3 linked regions of the Arabidopsis thaliana genome follow. The protein of the gene in region 1 interacts with the protein of each later gene in a pairwise test. Each region holds a gene or a part of one and is shown on either strand. Other genes may lie near its edges.

Region 1 (6,550 bases):
CAAAATAATATCTTAGAGAAAATAAAGTTGGTAATTAGAATATTATTAGAAATCAACTCACACACATCGTGTGGGTTTATTGGTATCATATATTATTCTACCTATTTTATTTTATTGAACAATGTGTCTTTAAAAATGAATAAGTACATAATTTTTTAGACTTATATTTTGAAATTTTGTCTATATTAATACTTACTATATATGAATTGAACTTGTTAAATATTGTATTGACTTTTGTAGTGGTAAGAAGAAACAATAAAAATCCATAAAAACAATAACTTGGTTTAGCTTTTGGTTACGTATGTAAGGGGGTTACTAAAAGTAAAAACACTGGGTTTGGGCTGGGTTCAGTAACTCTCATACAAAATCCATAAAAACTTTGGGCTGGGCTCATTCAAAATCCATACTTATTTTATTACTTTCCTAATTAAAAAAAATACACATAGCACAAGAAAAACCACCGCCCAAGCTTCTCTAGAACCTCTCCATCGTTCTCACTATCACTCCCCCCCCCCCCAAATATAAACCCTAATTTTCACAATCACAGTACCAAAAAAAAATGGCAGCCGCCGCACCGCCACCGCCACCAACAGCAGCACCGGAACCAAACATGGTAGCACCACTAATTTCACCAATCGGCCACCCAATGTTCTCCCGGATCCGTCTGGCAACACCGTCCGATGTCCCATTCATCCACAAACTAATTCACCAAATGGCAGTCTTCGAACGTCTCACGCATCTCTTCTCCGCCACCGAATCAGGTCTCGCTTCAACACTCTTCACCTCTCGTCCTTTCCAATCATTCACAGTCTTCCTCTTAGAAGTCTCTCGTTCTCCATTTCCAGCAACCATCACTTCATCACCATCTCCCGATTTCACACCGTTTTTCAAAACACATAACCTTGATCTCCCGATTGATGATCCGGAGAGTTACAATTTCTCGCCGGATATGTTGAACGACGTCGTTGTAGCTGGGTTTGTTCTGTTTTTCCCGAATTACTCTAGCTTTTTGTCCAAGCCTGGTTTTTACATTGAGGATATATTTGTGAGAGAGCCTTATAGGAGGAAAGGGTTTGGTAGCATGTTGTTGACTGCTGTGGCCAAACAAGCGGTGAAGATGGGTTATGGAAGAGTGGAATGGGTTGTTCTTGATTGGAATGTTAATGCTATCAAGTTTTATGAGCAGATGGGTGCTCAGATTCTGCAGGAGTGGAGAGTTTGTAGACTTACTGGTGATGCTCTTGAAGCTTTTGATCAGGTCAACATCTAGAGATTGATGCTGTGTTGCTGAGAGTTATCGAATCAGATCACTTCCTCTTGCTTTTAAAGTTTGTGTTTTTTTTCCTTCTTCTTGTTGTTACTTTATGCAAGTGTTGGCATTGATGATGATGATGATGATGAATTCTCTATGCTTACTTGTTGGATACTGAATGAGAAAAAAGAACCCTTTTGTTGAATGTATGAAATGTTTCGAGTTTTTAAAGTAAGAGTTATGTATTTGTGTGATTCCTCGTCATATTTGCTTGACCAAAGTATTTGTTCTGTGTTATGGATTTGAAGAATTGGTTTTGTGATCCTAGAGGACAGTGAATTGGAGAGTACAGATAAATTGGTCAAATGAAGAAATTGTGATCAAATGTAGAATGGTTAAGTTGCTTGCGAGGCACACACAAGTCTAATTGCAAACTATATAGGTTAAGCCTTCTTGCTTCAGTTACTATAGAAGACAATAAAAACTAAGTTTTAGTAGTCTCTGACTCTCTGTCTTGTTGTATAGAGAATTAAGAAACCGTGAGCATGAAACAAAAATTCATCTATTTTTATTACTACAACAAAACATTCCGCTTTTGTGTTAACATAGAGAACAAAAGACCCCATTTTACGAAAATGATTCTACTCTTATAAATGGGCTTAAGTGGGTTGTAAAATTTGTAGAAGAATGCACAAACACTTCAACATCTCTAGTTGTCCTACTGGCTTTAAAGAACATCTCTTTGATTGAGATTAATTCACTTGCAATTTATCGGTAAAACTTTAAAACTGAACCAAAAGTAAAAAAGAGTGAGACTAGTTTTTTGTTTGTTAAACATGAAACTGGACATAAAACTGGACAGATACATTCTACTAATATCATGCATTCCGTTAAGTATTTTGAACAAAAAATCTCATCTTTGGAAGAGTATATTATGAAAAATATTTGGATTTACACTCAAAATCATATTCATTTATTAACAATTAAAACTATAAAAAGACATAAGCTAAAGAATTAAAGTAGTAAAAAATTGATAGTTTTATTTCCTTTCCTTTATTATCAACAACATTGAAGTTATCGTCGTGATTACAGAATCCAAAATTGGAAAGAAATGGCAGGATACATATTTGATTTTTGTTGTCGACAAATTTGGACTAAGAGACGTAACAAATCTTGCCAGCTACATGTAGAACGCACCTGTTAATACTGTAAACAATGTCGGCTAACTATTTTGTGCTAACGACAATAAATATCAAAGTAGTACGTGTAGCGTCTAGCTTCTTCTATGAGATAAAACGACGATGGGAGTGTCATTATTTTTCACTCATTTCTTGTATTTTTCTTTGGAACCAAAATGTCTTTTTCCATGATTTAACGACATGTGCTTCACGTTTCTTCATATGTCTTTTTACCGACTTCAACAAATGGTGATGGTATTTATCGAAATTCATCAATTTCTTCCTAAATTAAATTGGTAAAAATACCAATTGTCGAACTCACTCACGAAGATTGGACTGTAAACGGTATAGATGACCGTATTTGCTTCGTGGTATGGTCGTGCGTTGTCTCAAATCGCAAAAGAGCCAAATTATGTTTAAAAAATTCAATGCCATATTAGAAACCTTAATCTTCTCTAATGAATTTGTACGACGTAATATAGAATGAGAGGTTCAAATTATTAAGAAGGAAGTTTAAAAGACTTAGAACCGTTTGCAAAGTTTTGGGAGAGATGATCGGTGACCTATACAATGAGATAATAGAGATTGAGGGATTGAAAATTGAGGGACGCAACCATTACACTGATACGTTGAGTTGATATGGTGATAATTGTTTTTATGTTCAAAAACTTACATAAGTAGATAATGTGGAGTCTCTTTGATTTCTTAACCTGAACGAAAAACCAAAAAGGAGAAGAGAGTGATCACCTAATTTAACGTGTAAAACATGACATTTTCCAAGAAGAGGGATCGATCTAAAAGTCAAAAAAAGGATGAGATAGCGTTTTAGTTTATCATATGTGGCATAGTTAGATTGGCTTGTAAAATAATTTCTAATCCTAAACATGATAGATAGCAGCCTTAGAAGCAAGTAACATCAAATTTTTATAGTATATATATATGGATTCTCGAAACCCTAATCTTCACATCACTATCTTCAAAAACAAGTAACAGAAAAATGGCGCCTCCAACCGCAGCACCAGAGCCAAACACTGTGCCAGAGACTTCACCGACCGGCCACCGTATGTTTTCCCGGATCCGCCTCGCTACGCCGACCGATGTCCCTTTCATTCACAAGCTAATCCACCAGATGGCGGTTTTTGAGCGCCTCACGCATCTCTTTGTCGCCACCGAGTCTGGTCTTGCCTCCACGCTCTTCAACTCCCGTCCGTTCCAAGCCGTCACCGTCTTCCTCTTGGAAATCTCCCCTTCCCCATTTCCCACCACTCATGACGCTTCGTCCCCTGATTTCACCCCCTTTCTTGAGACGCATAAGGTTGATCTCCCTATCGAGGATCCGGACAGAGAAAAGTTCTTGCCGGATAAGCTCAACGACGTGGTGGTGGCTGGATTCGTTCTGTTCTTCCCGAACTACCCAAGTTTTCTAGCGAAACAGGGTTTCTACATCGAGGATATCTTCATGAGAGAACCTTACAGACGAAAAGGCTTCGGAAAACTGCTACTGACCGCTGTGGCAAAGCAAGCAGTGAAGTTGGGTGTCGGAAGAGTGGAGTGGATTGTGATCGATTGGAATGTGAATGCTATCAACTTCTATGAGCAGATGGGTGCGCAGGTTTTTAAGGAATGGAGACTTTGTAGGCTCACTGGCGATGCACTTCAAGCTATTGACAAGCTAAACATCTAGCAGCATGATGATTTGCATGAGACCCATCGAGCGATCGGTCCTTTAAAGTTTGTTTCTCACTTGTTTTTAATTTGTTGAATAAAACATCTCAAGTTTAAGATAAAGATGTATTTGTGATTATGGTTACAAAAGTATCTTCTGTGTTTTCGGATTTGAATAAAATGGAGATTTCTTCAAACTATTTATAAGCCATGTTTAAAAGAAGTTTTCAAGGTGTATTTAATGTGAATAAATAAAATTTTTAAATTATTGACCTCAATTTATATAGAGACTGCACTGTTTTTTTTTTAACCGGACAGCGTTCTACTTACACATGCTAAAGTACGGGCCTTGTCAAAAAGACATAGAAGTGGTAATTAAACAGATAAATTGGAAACATACAATTCCACTTAAATATATATATGGATCATTAAAATCTTAGTATTGTAATAAAATTAAGAAAAACATATCTCAAATGATGATTACATGATAATCAAATTTATACGGTATTAAGATAAAAAAAAAAGTGAAAATTTATCAGTTGACGAGGCGACAATTTTTACGAATCTCACCACCTTGATCTCCAAGAGTAAGGACTTTGATGGAACTCATCTTTATCATGGACCGACCAAACTGAGCAAGAAAAGCGCCGGAGTTTTGGAAAACACTAGCAATGTGAGCGGCGGAGGGATCAGTCAACAAGGCGGCGTCGGAGGTGAAGAGTCCTTTGTTCTTGAGTAGAGAGACGAAGTAGCCACTGTCAAAGGCGAGAGGACCAGTAGGGTCCATTCCGACCACTGCGGAAGGGTTGAGTCTTAAAGATTTGTCGGAGCATTCGGATTTGAGGAAGGAGGCGTAACTAGGGTTTAGGGAAGGATCTGTGTCCCCTTTTCCGGTGAAGTTCAAGAGCCTTCTGCCAAACACACCGCAATGTGCTATTCCTATCGTGTGTGCTCCTATTTTTCATACAATTTCGTTTCTTTTTAATATATAATCGAAAAATTAGGTGATTAAATGAATGATTTATATGAAAATATTAGTGTATCATTCCTAAGAAGATTAATTGACTTTTGAATAATTATCACGTGCAACGCCTTTTCCAAGATTATCCTCAAATATTTGATGGTATATATACGATCGGATATTATACTTTTTCTTGAAGATTGGAGGAAATTAATTTGTAGCATCCCATACACTTCCTAACATGGACATGCACGTGGTCTGATATTCCCGCGATTTTCTTATAGTTTTATGCGTTCTTTAGTTTTATTATTTGTTCCCAATTTTCATTGGTTAGCTTTTAATTCACTTGGTTTCTTATCAGTAACGTATATGCAAATGTGATTACCAAAAAATGATATATCAAATATGGTAAACCTGATAAAGCGACGAGGTCAACGACGTCCAAATCGCTCTCGGCAAAGAGTTTCTGTAGAGTGGTGAAGTTTGCCCCAGCGGATGGTAAGTCTCTGGCCGCCTCCGTTGCCAATGAAACTCTTCCATCAACACGTCCGGTAAACACATTCCATAGCGGCCGTTCAAACTATAACACATCAAACATAGAAACTCAGGGAGTTAGAATTGATTATTGGTTTCATTTGATAAGAAAGACATCTAAAACTAACATATGCGACTAGTAAAATACTAAATTTTTGATTTCTAATCATGAAATTTTTTAGACGAGTTTGTTCATATGTATTACTTCATAAGAGACGGCATCTCGGGCGGCTAAAGTGAGAATGTCAGCGCAAGAGACGGTGTTAGGGCATCGTTTTTCGAGAATATACTTGATCTCATCGATGATTTCAAACCCGGAAAGCGAGAGATTAGGTCTCGCTTCCTTCTCGGACACTGCTTTTCCAGCAACCGAATCTAAAAGCAGCGATGCGTCGCACCCCTAAAAATCATCCACATCAGACTTATCTTTATAAGAAAGATGTTCACATAAAGAAAAAACCCTACATGCACATCATACCCTAACAAAGCAGTCATGGTAATGAACCCTCAGTAACTTGGGAGCCAGGCTACGGTTTGCTTCGACTTTCTTCCACACTATCTGCCTCACGATATCCTCGGCTCCAGGGCAGCTATTGTGATAGAAGTTCATCTTCAGCTTACCTTCCCATCTTCCTTTTCTTATCTTATGGCCATTATTATTGAATCCTTTACCATCAACACAAAGTAATTTCACAACCAAAAACAAAACAAGTGGAAATAAAAACCGAATCTCTAAACTCTTATTAGCCATGTGATCGACTTTAGATTTGATATTTTCTTTTAAGTGTTTCTTCCTTTTGTATATGAGGAATGCACTTGGCAGAGTTGCTTTATATAGAAACTGAGGCTCCATACTTCATATATGCCCGTTGAGTTTCTAATATTTTTTAGCAATTGAATAATTATTGAAATAATAATATGTCTGGGTGGCCAAGCAAAGTTCCCTGTATGTGTTGTGAA
Region 2 (7,716 bases), on another chromosome or scaffold:
CCTTGGTGAACCATGTACCGAACCATCACTTCTAATACCATGAGCAGGTCGCAGTGCATAATGTCGGCGACAGTGACCAAATAAGTAGAGTTTGAGGACATGCCTGCACAAAAACGTTTCCCCAACTTTTATGACCAAAGCAAAATTTATCTCGTAGTAAAAAAGTAAAAGCAGAGCAAGAAAAAATAAAGACATAAAAGTCATCTGAAAGCCCAATAATATCGAGGCCCATCAATAAGAACCAAAAAAAATAAAAAATTGTCTAGAGTTTCGTCCAAGCCATCGTCGACTTTAATAATTGTTCTTCTCTTGCTCAGATTTCTTCTCCGATAGGAAAACTCCCGAAGCTTCACTCAGTAAACCCTAATTTTCCGATGTCGGTAAGTGTTCCTTGCCGAATTCTTTTTTTCAATTTCTAACTTTTGTTTGTTCTGCGCAAAGATTGATAGTATGAATTGAACGATAAAATCGGTGGACATTGTGGTGATTCAGATCTTCGAGTACAATGGAAGTGCCGTCGTAGCTATGGTAGGGAAGAATTGCTTCGCTATAGCTAGTGATCGGAGGCTTGGTGTGCAATTACAAACCATTGCTACCGATTTTCAGAGAATATCTAAGATCCACGATCATCTCTTCATCGGACTTTCCGGTCTCGCCACCGATGTCCAGACATTGTAAGCTCTCGTATATGTTTACTCCTTTCCTCAGAGAATTTTAGGTGAATTACAAAATTTAGGGCTCCGTTTTTTTTTGTTTTGTCTTTGGTACTGAAGGTACCAGCGACTCGTATTTCGTCATAAGTTATATCAGCTTAGGGAAGAAAGAGACATGAAGCCTGAAACTTTCGCTAGTCTTGTATCGGCTATTCTTTATGAGAAAAGGTTGGTGAAATGTCTTCTTCTCTCAATTTGTTATTAGTTTCTAGTTTCCTCTTAACAATCTGATTTCTTATGATTAATGTGGCATTGCCACTACTAAGTACCAAATTCTTTATTTCAGATTTGGCCCATTCTTGTGCCAACCTGTGATTGCTGGATTGGGAGATGATAACAAACCCTTCATTTGCACTATGGATTCTATTGGAGCCAAGTATGCTCGCTTTCTTCATTACTTAAGACGTTATATCTCATTTTTCGTCTGTAATGCCATTTAATTTACTTAGTCAGTGACTGTAATCGTGAAACTTGCTAGGTCAGCTAGAAAATGATCGTGGATTGATATTTTGGTTTTAGTTGGAATCTAATTTTGGTCTTTTGTCATCCAATGCAGTGTATGCATGTCATATGAGTGAACTTATTTTACATGTGTTGAGCTGATTTAAATATGATTCTTAATATAGTTGAGATTTTACCGAACATGATAGTTGCAATGGTGAGCATGCCTTGACGCTTGTTCTCTCTAAATGCAGGGAGTTAGCTAAAGATTTTGTTGTCTCGGGAACTGCTTCAGAATCTCTATATGGTGCCTGTGAAGCCATGTTCAAACCAGATATGGTATGTGCCTTCTGAAAACTTGTTTTTGTACCGATTCACTGGATACTCAAATGTGTGTTTATCACCTGAAAATTTGGTAGGATCATTCATATGTAAGTATTCTATTGTAGAATCTTGATCTGGTAGGAATATTTGTGTGCATAGTGCTGGTGATATATGACGTAACTCCAATAATTTTCTCTGTATATTTTAATTTGGCTTAGGATTAAGATGTTTCAATATTGCGATTACTTCCCTGCCATAGTACTGCTTCGATAAAGTTTGAATTTCAAGGTCATCATTCTAAGAAGTGCATTGTAAACAGACTCGTGATGAAATGAAAAGCATATAACTAGACTTAACAAATTTGAGTTTCAGGAAGCTGAGGAACTATTCGAGACAATTTCACAAGCACTTCTCTCTTCAGTTGACCGCGATTGTCTTAGTGGGTGGGGAGGACATGTCTACGTTGTGTAAGTTTTGTTCTCCTCATCTTCTTCTTCTTCTTCTTCTTCTTTTTTTCTGTCACATCTGGCTTCTTACAGAATATACCTCATGTGCACTTATCTTCTAAGGATATGTATTATATAAGATAGTAACATTCTTTCATGGTCATGTTGTCCAGAACACCAAAGGAGGTGAAGGAGAGAATCCTGAAGGGAAGGATGGATTGATCTGATATCACATATCTGCTTTTGTCCAAGTTCGGTATACTCCTTAACCCGGTTATGTAGAAGCTCTCGTCCCATAGTAACTATGTTCCTTCTCTGAAACTGGATATTGTGGTTCGTTCTCTCGGATGTTTTATTTGCTATTGATAGAGTTCAATGAAAATGAAGAAATAGCAGTTGTTATCTTGTTCCAGTACTCGATCATTCTATGTACCTTGTTGTTTCTGTTTTAATTTCGTACCAAGTGTTCCAGATTTCTGGTTTGTCGCAGTCTTTAGTTTTCAAGGTTGGTACTGATCAGTGACACGTTTTGTTGTTTGTCTTCTTAGTGTTCATGTTCGATTCACTATGGGTGACTTTAGAAAGACGTTAACATGTCAACGAAATATTTTGGTCAACTATCAATAAACATGGTTTGGCTAACGAAATCATACAATAACTATGAAATCAATGTAATTTGGAAGGTGATCACTAGTAACTGCAAATAGAAACGAATCAAACTATTATGATGATGATCCTGATGCTGCCATCTGACATTGTGAATGATTTTGCATGTCCTGTTCTGTTTGTGGCGTTAGATCGAGCCAGAGAGGCAAAATCCATACGCATAAGCGTTTTGATGATTTCATATAAAACGTGGCATGTGCAATAGATGTGGTCGTTACACGAATATAAACCCAATCCTGCCGACCTAACTAATCTCGGTGGGTATTCATATACTACCTGTGTGGGCAAAGCATATAAAGGTTCTACTTGGGCAATCATTATCGATGCTCGTAAATTCATGCGTCTAATCATTTTGATTATGAACCATCCACATCATGTCACGTGTCTAAACTCTTCGGTCACTTTTGAGCTTTTTATCAAATTCAACCCGCCACAATAAAAAGCGGCAGAACTAACATTCCGGCTCCACGTGGCATAGATCGAAGCGTTTATCTATTAGGTGGCACAGGCGGCTCGAGATGACGTTCTTGTGGACTCCATTAGAGAAAATGACAGAATTAAGTGGGCATTAGCATAAGTTGATAACTATGAGGTGCTTTTTAAAAAGAAAACTAACAGCTGCGATTCTGTTTTTTTTTGCCGTTAGTGTACGCTAAATCATAGACCTCTTCGTGGTTATAAAGAAAGAAACTTAATTTGTCTCGAATTTGAGTTTGGATGCGACGTTTTACGTACTAGTTTTATAAAAGTAAATGTTATAGACCTTGAATTTCAAAGTGGAATGTATTTTACACACACAATTGATACACCAACAATTGTGGAAGCAAGGATATAGAGTATCGATCTTTAATGGAGAAGAATATATCCTTAAAGTAATCATTACTTTTTAATTACGGCGGAAAGAGAATAGTTAAATTTACGGCGAAAAGAATGTTCATTAATCAATTGATGACGTTCGTTTATAATTTCAAATAAGATCGAAAATAACAGGTGAACAAAGAAAAAATAGACATTAAAAATAGTAAGATCGAAAATACAACCCTTAAAAATCTCACGAAATCAATGAGAGAAACAATTTTGAGATACGGTCAACGTTTGGTCTCCTTTAGGAAAGTACACGCATAAGATCGAACGTGTCGATTCTTATTGCTCGTTCCCAAAATCGACATGCTCTCGGACCGCTACATTCCAAATAGTCTGACGTAAGCAATGACAAAACTCACCTACATTACAGTCTGCCACGTGTCCCTCTCCATCTACTTCAAATGAATCCTCCACTATACAGATTTAACCATTTTTCTATTTTTGTTTGAGATTCCTTTCCACCAACACAAAGCCCCTGTCTATCCGCCATGTGTCCACGACCTTTCTTATATATATAGTCATCTTTCTTCTTTGCTCGAGAGAAGTTTCAACTTTCAAACATATCTTTACAGTTCTTTCTTGCTAAACAACAATAAAGGGGAAAATAGGTTAATTATGATGAAATCTGGGGCTGATTTGCAATTTCCACCAGGATTTAGATTTCATCCTACGGATGAGGAGCTAGTCCTCATGTATCTCTGTCGTAAATGCGCGTCGCAGCCGATCCCTGCTCCGATTATCACCGAACTCGATTTGTACCGATATGATCCTTGGGACCTTCCCGGTACGTTTCTTTCTTTTCCCCTTTAAATCACACTATACACTAACAGTAACAGGATTCTATAAAATCGGTCTAAGAATTAATAAACCGGTTTACAATTTACAGACATGGCTTTGTACGGTGAAAAGGAGTGGTATTTTTTCTCACCAAGAGATCGAAAGTATCCAAACGGTTCAAGACCCAACCGTGCAGCTGGTACTGGATATTGGAAAGCTACCGGAGCTGATAAACCAATAGGTCGTCCTAAACCGGTTGGTATTAAGAAGGCTCTAGTGTTTTACTCGGGAAAACCTCCAAATGGAGAGAAAACCAATTGGATTATGCACGAATACCGGCTCGCTGACGTTGACCGGTCGGTTCGTAAGAAAAACAGTCTAAGAGTGAGTGAATTTATCAGTTCAAACCGAACTTTGAATATGATTTTGAATCGGTTTAGTTAACCGGACGTGTTTTTGATATTCTTGAACAGTTGGACGATTGGGTATTGTGTCGTATATATAACAAGAAAGGTGTCATCGAGAAGCGACGAAGCGATATCGAGGACGGGTTAAAGCCTGTGACTGACACGTGTCCACCGGAATCTGTGGCGAGATTGATCTCCGGCTCGGAGCAAGCGGTGTCACCGGAATTCACGTGTAGCAACGGTCGGTTGAGTAATGCCCTTGATTTTCCGTTTAATTACGTAGATGCCATCGCCGATAACGAGATTGTGTCACGGCTATTGGGCGGGAATCAGATGTGGTCGACGACGCTTGATCCACTTGTGGTTAGGCAGGGAACTTTCTGAGTTGTCACGTGCGATTAGAGTTAGTGGAAAGTGGAAACTATCACTGTCTGTTTTCGCACGTGTCGGGTAGCCGTCTTGAAACCCGCTAGCTGATCCAGAAGTGACCTCATTGGGCTTTTCAACAACAATTGGGCCTTAGCCTTTCTTCTCCCTTAGTAAGACAAGCTACTGTATTGTGTTGTTATTTTCAGGAAGCAATATAAATTCATTTTAATCACTTATATATTCTTTACATTTTTTTTTCACTCAAAACTACAATCTAGCTTCTTCTTTTTTTTTTTTTTTTTTTGTTATGGTTGTACTACAATCTAGCTTTGTTATATATATATATAAGTTAAAAATAGTAACTAAATTACAAACTAAAATAAAATAAAGAAATTGGAAGATATCACTAGTGTTTGGGGTATTAGGGAGGGAGGGGAGCTCGAGATCCGATTTTACTGACTGCATGGTATCGAAAAAGTGTCGGTAATGGTAGGGTCTGACAGATAACAGTCTTATCGTTGCAACTTGCATTCAAACAAATCTCATTGTTCGCTTTAATTTCTAATTAATTTGTTTTTGTCTTTTGTATATTTATTTGATTTTGACACGAGTTTGTCTTTCCTAATAAGACCGAGGCATGATTAGTTTAACCGGTTTGAATTGTTTAGGTTAAATCGGAGTCCAAGTCAAATACATCGCTATCTAACGAAAACGACGACTGAAATTTCGTAAAGTTCCTTACTATAAAACTGATCTAACTATCTTCTACAAGAACAATATAATAAATTTGATGCATTATGAATTCACAAGTTTTAAATCTTTATGATTTTGTAGCTCATGAAATTGAATGATGTTTCTTTTATTATCACATGTCATTAAATAAAAATAGTTATGAGTAGATGACATAAATACTATTTCAAATAAATTTATCCTCCATCTAATTGTTATGAGATGATTATTTCCTATAACATGGTATCTACTATATGGCCGTCTAAATTAAGTATCAACGTTTAAACTGCGCAATGCTCAAGTTTTCATAAGATGTGATTTGTTAGAGGTTAATTAAGAAACTTGCGAGTGTATATGTGGTCTCTAATCTATATTTTAATCTATAAAAAGGGAAGTGAAAATCAAGATTAAAAGCTTGGATGTCATAGTATAAAAGAATAGTAAAGTAAGGGGACCAGACATATTTGTTGCGAACTGGAAAAAAATGAAGACAGTCAATCTCACTGGGGAAGTGTGGGGTTTGAAGTCCATGTTAGGTCTGTTTGTTGTTGCTCTTACAACCTTCACTTTCAATTTACAACCAAATCTTCTTTACACTTTATACTAATTTATTATTCATGTTTCCAATAGCATTAAAACAGTTTTAAAATCTATCCAACTCTTTTTTTCCCCTACTAAATCAGGAAATTCAAATCATATGGACAATATACTCCATCAAACAGTGTAAATCTGTTATCCACAATGCATAATGTTGTGTTTAATTAACTCGCATTCGTCACAACCAAATTAGTGATTTCTCTCTAATTAACCAATGTATGTAGATGTGAATAATACTTATGTAATAGTCCAGTTTTCAACAAACATATCATAGTTTAACGAAATTGGACAGATTCGAGATCACAACTCGGTTAAGATAAAACTGTGAATAGAATATTTTTCTGCCTAGGTTATAACTTAAAACTATAATATTTTTGGGAGCATGTATTATGTGACTTGTGCGAGAATTCTGTGTATATATGGTTGACAAGATGGATGCTATTTTTGTAAATAGCTAGATGGCTACATACATATTCACTCATGTTTTATAACGTAGAGAATAATTAGTCCACCGCTCTATGCCCCATTTGGAATAAGGTTAATTGTTACAACATATATTTTGGTTAAATGGTTCCGAGTTAATAGACCAAATCATATAGTAGTAGTTTGGAAACAAGACATGGTCAAAACGCAAGATAATACATAGACACATAATTTCAGTTTAAAAGTTCTTAAAACTTTAAAGAACAAAACTTAGATGTAGTTTTAAATGTTAATTTACCTGGTTTTGGCATAACACAACCTAGGAGTTAGGAATGTTCCAACTTCCAATACTTTTACATTTATCAAAACATGCGTTAAATAGAGGGAAAAAATGAATCTTGAGGAACGTTTTATTTCTTCCTAATTTGTTGGCTAAAAAATGAATAAGATAAGCTCAACCAAATGGAGACCCAAACAAAGTTGACATTGAAAAAGTCTAAAATTTCAATGTTTATAAAATCTAACAATAATCCTATTCTTTAGATTGGACAACTTTATGCTAAGATAAGAGTAATTCAGAATTCTAACTAAATCACACTCACTCCATTATTATGGCCGCCGTGGAAAATTCAACAACCAAATCTTCAATCATATAAATACTTTTTCAACTGACTTAAAAGTAAAAAAAAAAAAAATCAAATGTGGAGAAATAATAAATCGATATTAGGACACTCAAATGTACTAGTTAACAAGCTTATGATGACAGAAAATTGGATAATTATGGGAAAATAAGATTGGATGATTAAGGGCTGGGAAAAACAAATTGATGATTAAGGAAAGTAAAAAAGTAAAAAAAAAACGAACGAAAACTGAAAAAAAGTAAAAAAAGGGACTGATCTCTTCTCTTTCTCTCGTACGTTCTTCTTCCTCATTCGAGAGAGTTAATTTCACCATTTCTGA
Region 3 (9,063 bases), 8.4 Mb from region 1:
CTGATTTTCTCCCAAAAGACAAGTAATATATATGGAGAAATGATTTTCATTTGTTTGTTAATTTGTATGTTTAGAACTAAATATCGTCTCTCCGAAACGCTTGATAATCCAAACCACTCCAAACAAAAAAAACTTTTGGGAAAAGAAACAGGCAATAGGTGCTAAGATGAGGAAGCATAACCACAAACAAAGACTGCAATTCCTAAATTATATCGACAACAAAATAATTGCCAATGCTCAAGGTATTGCATGGATCTTCCTCCCCGTTGTTAGCTTTCTCTGCTCTTGTTGCGGAGTTGGTAATCTTTTGGGTTGCAATGGATACAGTCTCTTCTGAAGTCGTTTGGATCGTCATGTTTCGATCTCGTTTGTTTTCTTTGGTAAAGTTGTGTCTTGCATTTATGTATTTTTTTTGGAGTATTTCTAGGTTTTCTTGTCTTGTTATCTTGTACAGTAAAACCTCTATAAATTAATAATGTCGGGACCGAGAAAATTTATTAATTTAAAGAAGTATTAATTTATGCAGAGATTTTACAAATTTTGTAATTTTTTACAAAAATGTGATCTAAAAGGTAGTTTTTCTATACAATCAATAATTTTTCTAAAAATTATTACGAGTAGAAAACCATTATTAGATTTAAAAACAAAAAAAAACTTTTTTATACGTAGTAAAATTATTAGAATTTAATTTTACAAAGAACTAATATAAATTAAAATAAAACAATACGAAAGTCATATTTTACTAAGCTTTACATAATATATATTCATAAATATAAATATATATATTCATAAATTTATACAGTTATTAATTTAAAATATTGATGGGACCATATATTTACATAGAATTTTCAAAAATTTTATTATCTTATTAATTTATCGATTTGTATCAATTTTTACACTAGTCCCAACTCGGAACCAGAAAAATTTATTAATTTATAGAAGTTATTAATTTATCGAATATTAATTTATAGAGGTTATACTGTATTTCTCTTTTATTTGGGTTGTATTTCTTCTTTTTTTACTGAGTTTGAGATTTAATTTTAATAAAAATTATCAGTTTGATAAAAAAAAACTAAAAATATAATTTTCTTTATAAACTAATAAAATTAAGTTTCTCATTCTAGCTAAAAGGCTTAGCTTAATATTATTATGAATATTATTCATCTTTCCTCTTTCAAAAAACATATTTTTCATCTTGATTATCATCGGTTGCAACCAAAACGAAAGGCTAAGTTTCATATTCATTTTACTCCCAAACCAAAACAAATAGAGGTAAATAAATTTTTCGTATTTCGTACTGGAGCTTTAATGTTAATTTTACCATTTGTTTTCACCCAAAAAAAACCACCTGAATTTCTTGAACAAATTCACAAGGAAATTAAATTTGTTTTCTGGGTTTTAATTTGTAACAAAATATCACCTGGTTTTATTAAACTAGTTCCATTAGTTAAAATTAAAAATTGCCGGTATTGTTTTGTTAAATATTTTATTTTGATAAAATCCTCTGATCTCTATCATTCGAAGTCAAAGCTGTTTTGTTCACGTAAAACTGCATGTGTGATCCTATATATTGTATATTGATAAATACGTTTAACAATGACAATCTAGTGAGATAGCTCATGTCACATCGACCTATGATCAATGGATTACTTCAGTTTGATAATATGTTTGTATGTGATCACGAATTATATATTATATACCAATCGATTTTTCATTGTTTTATGTACTATAATTTGATTTCAGCTCACTACATATAATATTTAAACGTGACATGTTCATCTTTTTTCGTCGTCGATCGACATATCAACTATAAGATTAGTCGGTTGTACGTATAAATCTTGACCTTTTACCATGGATTTGTCCTATAAAAGCTTACTAGAGACTAGAGACCAGAACGCATTAATATTATTAGGTCTATCTTCTATCACTTCATAGTGTTTCTTTAACACTCATGTTTTGCAAGTGTCGTTTTGTACTATTGGAAAAGATTATTGTTATAAAAAAAAAAATGAAACAAAACTCTAAAAAATCAGTTAATCTTAGTTATAAAACATTATCCTGCTAGAAATCATTGCAACTTTAATAAAGTATTGAGTCTTGAATCGTTATGTCCACTTCGTTTATTTTATATAAAAGTTTGTCAACTAATTAATAGCTGATTTTTTTTTTCTTTTAAGAGAAAGAAGATCTCGAAATGAGAATTAAAGATAAGATATATGGTTAGGTAGCGAGTAGAAGACCAAAGCAAGAAACTACGACCACGACATCTTGCACATAAGAAAAAAAAAAAGTAGTTCAATTTCATTTTCGCTTTGGTCCACTTTATTATTTAACAAAAAATAATATCTAATAAATTACATTAATATAACAGTCCGTGTTAGACTAAGACACGAAGCCTCCCCCACTAAATCGACGCAAATAAAAATAAACAAATGGTGGGGTTAAGAGTTTAATTCGAGCTGTGGAATTTTTTTATAAATATACAAAAATAATAATATTTAAAATAATATATATTACGATAACAAATTTTTATGTCAATCAATTATATTTTAAGAATCTTCTAAAATCAAATATTATTGAACTAATAATTTGAATAATAATTTTAATTCCACTATTATTGAAAATATTCATATCATTAGTTTTTAAGGGTGTATAGTGAAAAAATTCCTCAATTTCAAATATGTTAATACAAATTTCCCTTTTTAAAAATTATCATGAAATTGGACAAACTATATTTATATTGAAAAAGATATATAAACTTATACAACACAAATTGTAAACAAAAATAACATGATGTTCTTCAATAAAATTATAAATCATCAAACCTAAACTCTAAAATTGTCAAAGTAAAAAACCTAAATTGACGAATTCTAATTTATTATAGCGAAATTCTCTGATGTTTGTATGATGTCGAAGTTGATTATGAGAGATTTTGTAAAATTTTGTGTTTTAATTTTAACCATAGTTTATCTAATTTTTACGACAATGTAGAAAGACAGGATTAAGATATTTGAAAAATTGAAGTTTTTTTTTATAAAATATATAATTGAATAATTTCTTATAGAATTTTAGAAAAAAATTTTAGATAAAATTAAAAAACACAAATGTAATTCTTTTATGTAGAATTTGGGGAACCAGACTACAACAAATCATAAATTTCTCTAAATTTACCTAAAATCATATTAAAAATTAATAAATCATTATGAATCTTAAATTACTTAAAATATAAATTTGAAAATACTCCTCTAACTCAGAGATCAATTTTTTCTAATGCCTCGTGATTTTTTTGCATCTTGTAGCTTAGTCACCTATATATATTTTTAGTGGTAACAAGATTCTCTGTTAAAAAAATAATAAAAATTAAAAATAATAATAGTTTATTTTATGGGAAAAGACGCGAGTGGCTCCCACCAGCCTCAACTTTGCCCACGTGGAACCAGCCATATGCGCGGCGTTTAGACAACAAAAAAAAAGCGTGTTGTTTCTTTCTCTCTCTAGAAAGTCAAAAAAAGGAGACAGACAACCAAACACTGCCTTGTCACATCTCTCTCTCTCTTGCTTTTGGCGAGTAACGAGTAAGTCCATTTTCCATGTGCCCACTGTGTCTTCTCTCCTTACACGCCACCATCTCCTCCACCTCCTCCTCCCTCCCTTCTCCAATTCCCAATTCTCCTCCAAACCCTAGGGTTAGGGTTTCCACGATTGCTTCACCTTCCCTTCTTTTTTTAAAACCTCAGATCTTCCGCTTCCTCGTTCTTGTCTTTTTGTTGAGCTGAGAAGCAAAAAAAAAGTGTTCTTTGGCTTCACGAGGAGCCAACAACGAATCGATGCCGGAAATCGATCTTATGAGAGTCGATCATTGTGTTTCCGATGTTAAATTAGATGATTCTTCTTCTTCTCCTCCGGGATTCTTCGATGGTGGTGGTGTTCCGTTAGATTCGGATGTGAAGTTAGACGAAGAAGATTCCGATTCTTTGAAGAAGAGAGGTAGACGTGGTCGTCCGCCGAGAATTTTAGCTAAAGCTTCTTCGCCTCCGATTTCGAGGAAGAGAAGAGAAGATGAAGATGTTTGCTTTGTTTGCTTCGATGGTGGTAGTCTTGTTCTCTGCGATCGTAGGTTAGTGAAGTTTTGAGCTTAGACAAGTTACTCTCCCAGCTCCATTACATTCCTACTTGTAAAAATAGAAACTTTTACTTGTGACTGATGATGATTCTTTCTTAATTTGTCAGGGGATGTCCAAAGGCTTATCACCCAGCTTGTGTTAAGCGTACTGAAGCATTCTTCAGATCGAGATCTAAATGGAATTGTGGTAAGTTGTTCAATTTTTATCTGTTTTCTCTTCTTTGAGATGGTTCATAGTGATGAGGATGGTTTTTTGGTTTCAGGTTGGCACATATGTACTACTTGTCAAAAGGATTCGTTCTACATGTGTTATACTTGTCCGTATTCAGTTTGTAAGAGGTGTGTTAGAAGCTCAGAGTATGTAGTTGTAAGGGAGAACAAAGGATTCTGTGGAATTTGTATGAAGACTATAATGCTTATTGAGAATGCAGCTGAAGCTAACAAAGAAAAGGTATGAGAATCCTGTCTACATTTTGTTACTTTCTCTTACTCGCAGTACTACAAGGTTATTTGTGGAACTTGAGGTCTGTTCTTGTAATGTCGCTTTGTTTTTTTAATGTGGATTCTTTCTTCTAGCTAAATGTATTACATGTACATTTTCTAGGTTCAGGTTGATTTTGATGATCAAGGCAGCTGGGAGTATCTTTTTAAGATTTACTGGGTTTCTCTTAAAGAAAAGCTAGGTTTATCGTTAGATGATCTTACCAAAGCAAAAAATCCATGGAAATCTTCTTCTTCTACTGCCGCTAAGCGAAGAACTACTAGTCGGGTTCATGAAAAGGATGATGGAAATTCTCCTGGGGTTATGAAAATACGTCGTGCTAAAGTAAGGAAAATGGATGCTGTTTCTGTGAGTAATTTGGGTCCTTCTTTGGATTCAAACTGTTCTTTGGGTGACAGACTTCCACAATTGACTAGTGCTGCTACTTGGGCAACCAATGAGCTTTTGGACTTTGTGGGGTATATGAAAAACGGTGATATTTCTGTCTTATCAAAGTATGATGTCCAAACTCTCGTGCTAGAGTATGTGAGACGGAATAATCTACAAAACTCTCCTCAGAATTCTGAAATAATGTGTGACTCCAAGCTTATGAGATTGTTTGGAAAGGAGCGAGTGGACAACTTGGAAATGTTAAAGCTTCTTGATTCTCACTTCATCGATCAAGTTAGGTCTCCAGTCACAGATAATTCAGCCGGAGGAGTCACTGAAACTATGTCTTACCAGGTTAATGCGGGCAGAAGCTGTGATAGGTTAAATACATCTGAACAGCATCAAGAAGGGGAATCACAGCAATTGAACGGGCACAGTATTCAAGTTAGACCTTCCAGTTCTGATAGCAGAAACCATGCAGTTGTAAAACCTGACACAAGTGCCACTCTGTCCAATAAGCCAATTGATGGTTTGGATACAAATATGGTATGGTTATATGGAGATCCAGATGGGAAGATTCATGGACCATTTTCGTTATATAACCTGCGACAATGGAATTCAAGCGGGCATTTCCCACCAGAGCTGAGAATATGGAGGTTGGGTGAACAGCAACACAGCTCCATACTTTTGACTGACGCATTAAATGGGCAGTTCCATAAAACAGGGTTATTACAGAATCATTCTATCCCCAAGCAGGAAGTGACAGCTACTATAGCTAACGATCAAAACAGGTCTGTGGCTGTTCCTAAAATAGAGAGTAGAATACTTGACTTCAGCCCCAACTCAGTGTGCACTGACCAGAGTGTTATTTCTAGCAGTAACAGTGTCATCACAAGGAGCTCGGATGTGAGTAACAAAAGCGGAAACAATTGTAGCCACGCCGTGCCATTGGATTTTTCTCTTTCTAATGAAAGGGATACTGTGGGTTTTATCTCTCTCTGGGACAAAAGAAAAGTTGAAAGTTCTTTGCTTGTACAAAGCCCAATAAGCTGTTCACTCTCGCTGGCTACATTACCTAGAAACTCAAACTGCTCTCTGCCACCACATGAAAGATGGAGTGCTGGTCAGACAGATGGAAACAGTGCAGCAACGACTGCTTGCAATCAAAACGGTAGTCTTAGCGGCTCAGCTGAGAAACAAGTCACGGCTACAGTCCAGTCATGTGGACAGAACTGGAATGCTGCAACTCCAAGCAGTGCTTCAAATGTGTGGGATTCGAACTCGGGTTTGACGTCTTTCCCAGACAATCAAGAAATAGACTTTTTAGATCTCTTTAGTCCAACTTTCAAATTCAACTTTGCATCTACTACCACTGATTGGCAACCCATTGTGGCTGGACCTGACGAATGCGACGAATCAGTCTCAGATCTTTTGGCAGAAGTGGAAGCCATGGAGTCCCAAAAACGTCTTCCTTCTCCAACTTCGACATTCCGTGGTCCTGAAGAATTATTAATCCGGCACTCAATAAACGATAGCTTCAGTCCCGCAGAAGGACATAGCCCAGCACTAGATGTAAGCAAAGGTGACTCCATGAGCTCCACAAACGATCTTCAAATGCATTCACGATCTAACAGCACCGTGCATTTTTAGTCGTGGGCTCGGGTTCACATAGAGAGAAATCATAACCTGGGGCACAGGTTACCATAGATCATCCAATGTCCTAGATTCGTCTGATCGATGGTGGACTATGCCCTCTTTCTTCTCTTTTTTTTTGCAGGATTATTACAGAACATAAATAAATGGCAGAATCATCAGCAAAAATGAAAAAAAACGAGTGGTGCATATGTAGAAGATGTTTCTTCGCGGTATTTTTGACTGCACCCATTGTTTTCTTCAGTATTTAGGTTTTGTAACGTTGTCCTGTGTTAAGATTTGCACAGACATACCCAACTTCTGTATCTTTTTTTTTTACATTGTTTGTACTTAGGAACAAGTATAAAAATGGGAAGAAATTGTTGTCCATGGATGTAATCAAAACATTTGTAGGGATCATATCATCTTATTATTCTATATATATGATAATGATAGTGTAACGTTTCATTCTTTTTGTTTTGAATGTTTCAAATCTATTTATATCATGACAAGTGTAGGCTCCAGTTTATTCTACTTGTTTTTGGAAAATGAGACGAACTCTATTGATCGTTTCTGGATTTGGAAACTTTTTGTTGTTTCTTCGATTTCGTTTTTGTTGATCTGAGTTGATGGTGGAAGCTACGTCAAATTTGACGCCGTCGCAGAGATACGCGGCAAGCGCTTTGTTTGCAATCGCGCTTAACCAAGCGCAGATCAGCCAGTCAAAGCCATTGGGAATCCCGGCCACCGGAAGTACCGGAGAGCCAATCAGCAGCGACAGTGATCCTATCTCCGATGAGGCGGATCTCTGGGTCCACGAAGTTTCCGGCCTCCTCCGTCCTGTTCTCAGGTGATCTTGAAATCATCTGGAATAGTCATGTTCATATGCGTCTCTGTGTGTGTAATGTATACATTTTGAGCTGTCTCTGTAATTTGCTTTCAGATGTCTTCAGATTGATTCATCAGCTTGGCATGGCCTTGAAGAGATAGCTGCTTCTACTCAGGCTAAGGATCACATCGGTGCGGTATGATTAATTTCTCTCCGTATTTTGAAATTTCGTTGTGAATGTTGAGGAGCTCTTCTTTATTGGATGTTACTTTTGGTTTATTGTAGTTTATCAAGTTACTCTCAGAGGATGTGAGTGATGATGATGATGATTCTAGTGAAATGGTGGAGAAAGAGACCGCCTTAGCTAAAGCTGCTGATGCTATGGATCAAAACATTCGAAGCAGCTCTCTATCTGTGGAATCTAAGATGGAGAAACATGTGGAATTCGAAAACGAATGCCGCGACAAGTATTCTGTTCCCGAGGCACAGTCTGGTGCTGAGGTTAAGGAAACGGAGAGCCACGGGGAGGGTGAAATTAGAGATGGAGGCCACAATCTTGGGATTGTTGAACATGAGAAACCTGTTGGGGAAGTAGCATTGCTTAGCCATGAGAGAAAGATAAATGTTCTTTACGAGCTACTATCTGCTTGCTTGGCAGATAAACATGAGGAGAATGAGATATGTACACGGCGTAGGAAAGGCTATGATGCGCGTCACCATGTTGCTCTGCGGTTACTTGCTACTTGGTTTGACTTTCAGTGGATTAAAATGGTCTGTTTGCTTCATTCATTCAAATTATTTTGTAAATTTTATGCTACCACATAGCATAGCAACCCTATAGTTACATGTTAGCTATCTTGTTGAGGATTTAGGATCTGATGACATTGGGATATTTAGGATTCTCTGTTTTGTGCATTTGGATTGACCTGAGAATCAATTTCTGTATTTTCTAGGAAGCAGTTGAGACAATGTCTGCATGCTCTGCCATGGCATTGCAAAAGTCAAGTGGAAATAAGGAAGAAGAGTCTTTGTCACCAAATAGTGAATGGGCTAAGTGGAAACGTGGAGGCATAGTTGGAGCGGCTGCTTTAACAGGGGGTACATTGATGGCCATCACTGGTGGTATGATGTCTTCTAACTGTTAATATCTCTTCCAACGTTTAGAAAATTAAGAGTATGTGTTTGGAAAATGCTAATTCTTAATCTGTTTTGATTACATATTATGTGAAACAGGATTGGCTGCTCCAGCAATAGCTGCAGGGTTCGGTGCATTGGCTCCAACTCTAGGCACAATAGTTCCGGTAATTGGAGCCAGTGGGTTTGCTGCAGCTGCTGAGGCTGCCGGAACTGTTGCTGGTTCTGTTGCTGTTGCAGCATCTTTTGGAGGTAAATAAAAAGTAGAATCAGTTTTAGATTCCTTTAAGAAATAAAATGAATCAAAGTGATGATAATTGTATAGTTCTTAGTCTTCTGTTTTGTTTCTACATGTGTTCATGAATAGCTGCTGGAGCTGGGCTCACTGGGACGAAGATGGCTAGGAGAACTGGTGACATTGAAGAGTTTGAATTCAAAGCTATTGGAGAAAATCATAATCAAGGAGTTAGTTTT

The links. Proteins that work in one complex are often made in the same cells at the same time.
Region 2: the proteins of NATA1 (region 1) and NAC032 interact in a two-hybrid assay, tested with the Arabidopsis thaliana proteins (one large-scale study listed by BioGRID).
Region 3: the proteins of NATA1 (region 1) and AT2G18090 interact in a two-hybrid assay, tested with the Arabidopsis thaliana proteins (one large-scale study listed by BioGRID).

What each region holds. Positions count from the first base shown.
Region 1 is NC_003071.7:16,294,833-16,301,382, forward strand, and holds NATA1 (Acyl-CoA N-acyltransferases (NAT) superfamily protein), read left to right. Parts: upstream 1-3,277; 5' UTR 3,278-3,427; coding exon 3,428-4,114; 3' UTR 4,115-4,373; downstream 4,374-6,550. Other genes in the region: AT2G39020 (Acyl-CoA N-acyltransferases (NAT) superfamily protein), read left to right, coding at 560-1,270; AT2G39040 (Peroxidase superfamily protein), read right to left, coding at 4,631-5,049, 5,471-5,636, 5,796-5,990, 6,069-6,341. UniProt on the Arabidopsis thaliana protein: Acetyltransferase that converts ornithine to N5-acetylornithine, which is likely used in plant defense.
Region 2 is NC_003070.9:29,095,960-29,103,675, forward strand, and holds NAC032 (NAC domain containing protein 32), read left to right. Parts: upstream 1-3,879; 5' UTR 3,880-4,069; coding exon 4,070-4,238; intron 4,239-4,340; coding exon 4,341-4,615; intron 4,616-4,704; coding exon 4,705-5,022; 3' UTR 5,023-5,800; downstream 5,801-7,716. Other genes in the region: PBC2 (20S proteasome beta subunit C2), read left to right, coding at 61-66, 493-674, 774-881, 1,000-1,089, 1,409-1,493, 1,851-1,945, 2,098-2,146. UniProt on the Arabidopsis thaliana protein: Transcriptional activator that positively regulates age-dependent senescence, dark-induced leaf senescence and stress-induced senescence.
Region 3 is NC_003071.7:7,860,674-7,869,736, forward strand, and holds AT2G18090 (PHD finger family protein / SWIB complex BAF60b domain-containing protein / GYF domain-containing protein), read left to right. Parts: upstream 1-3,520; 5' UTR 3,521-3,827; coding exon 3,828-4,117; intron 4,118-4,230; coding exon 4,231-4,310; intron 4,311-4,386; coding exon 4,387-4,574; intron 4,575-4,727; coding exon 4,728-6,644; 3' UTR 6,645-7,147; downstream 7,148-9,063. Other genes in the region: AT2G18100 (transmembrane/coiled-coil protein (DUF726)), read left to right, coding at 7,256-7,476, 7,570-7,651, 7,741-8,226, 8,409-8,577, 8,689-8,841, 8,957-9,054.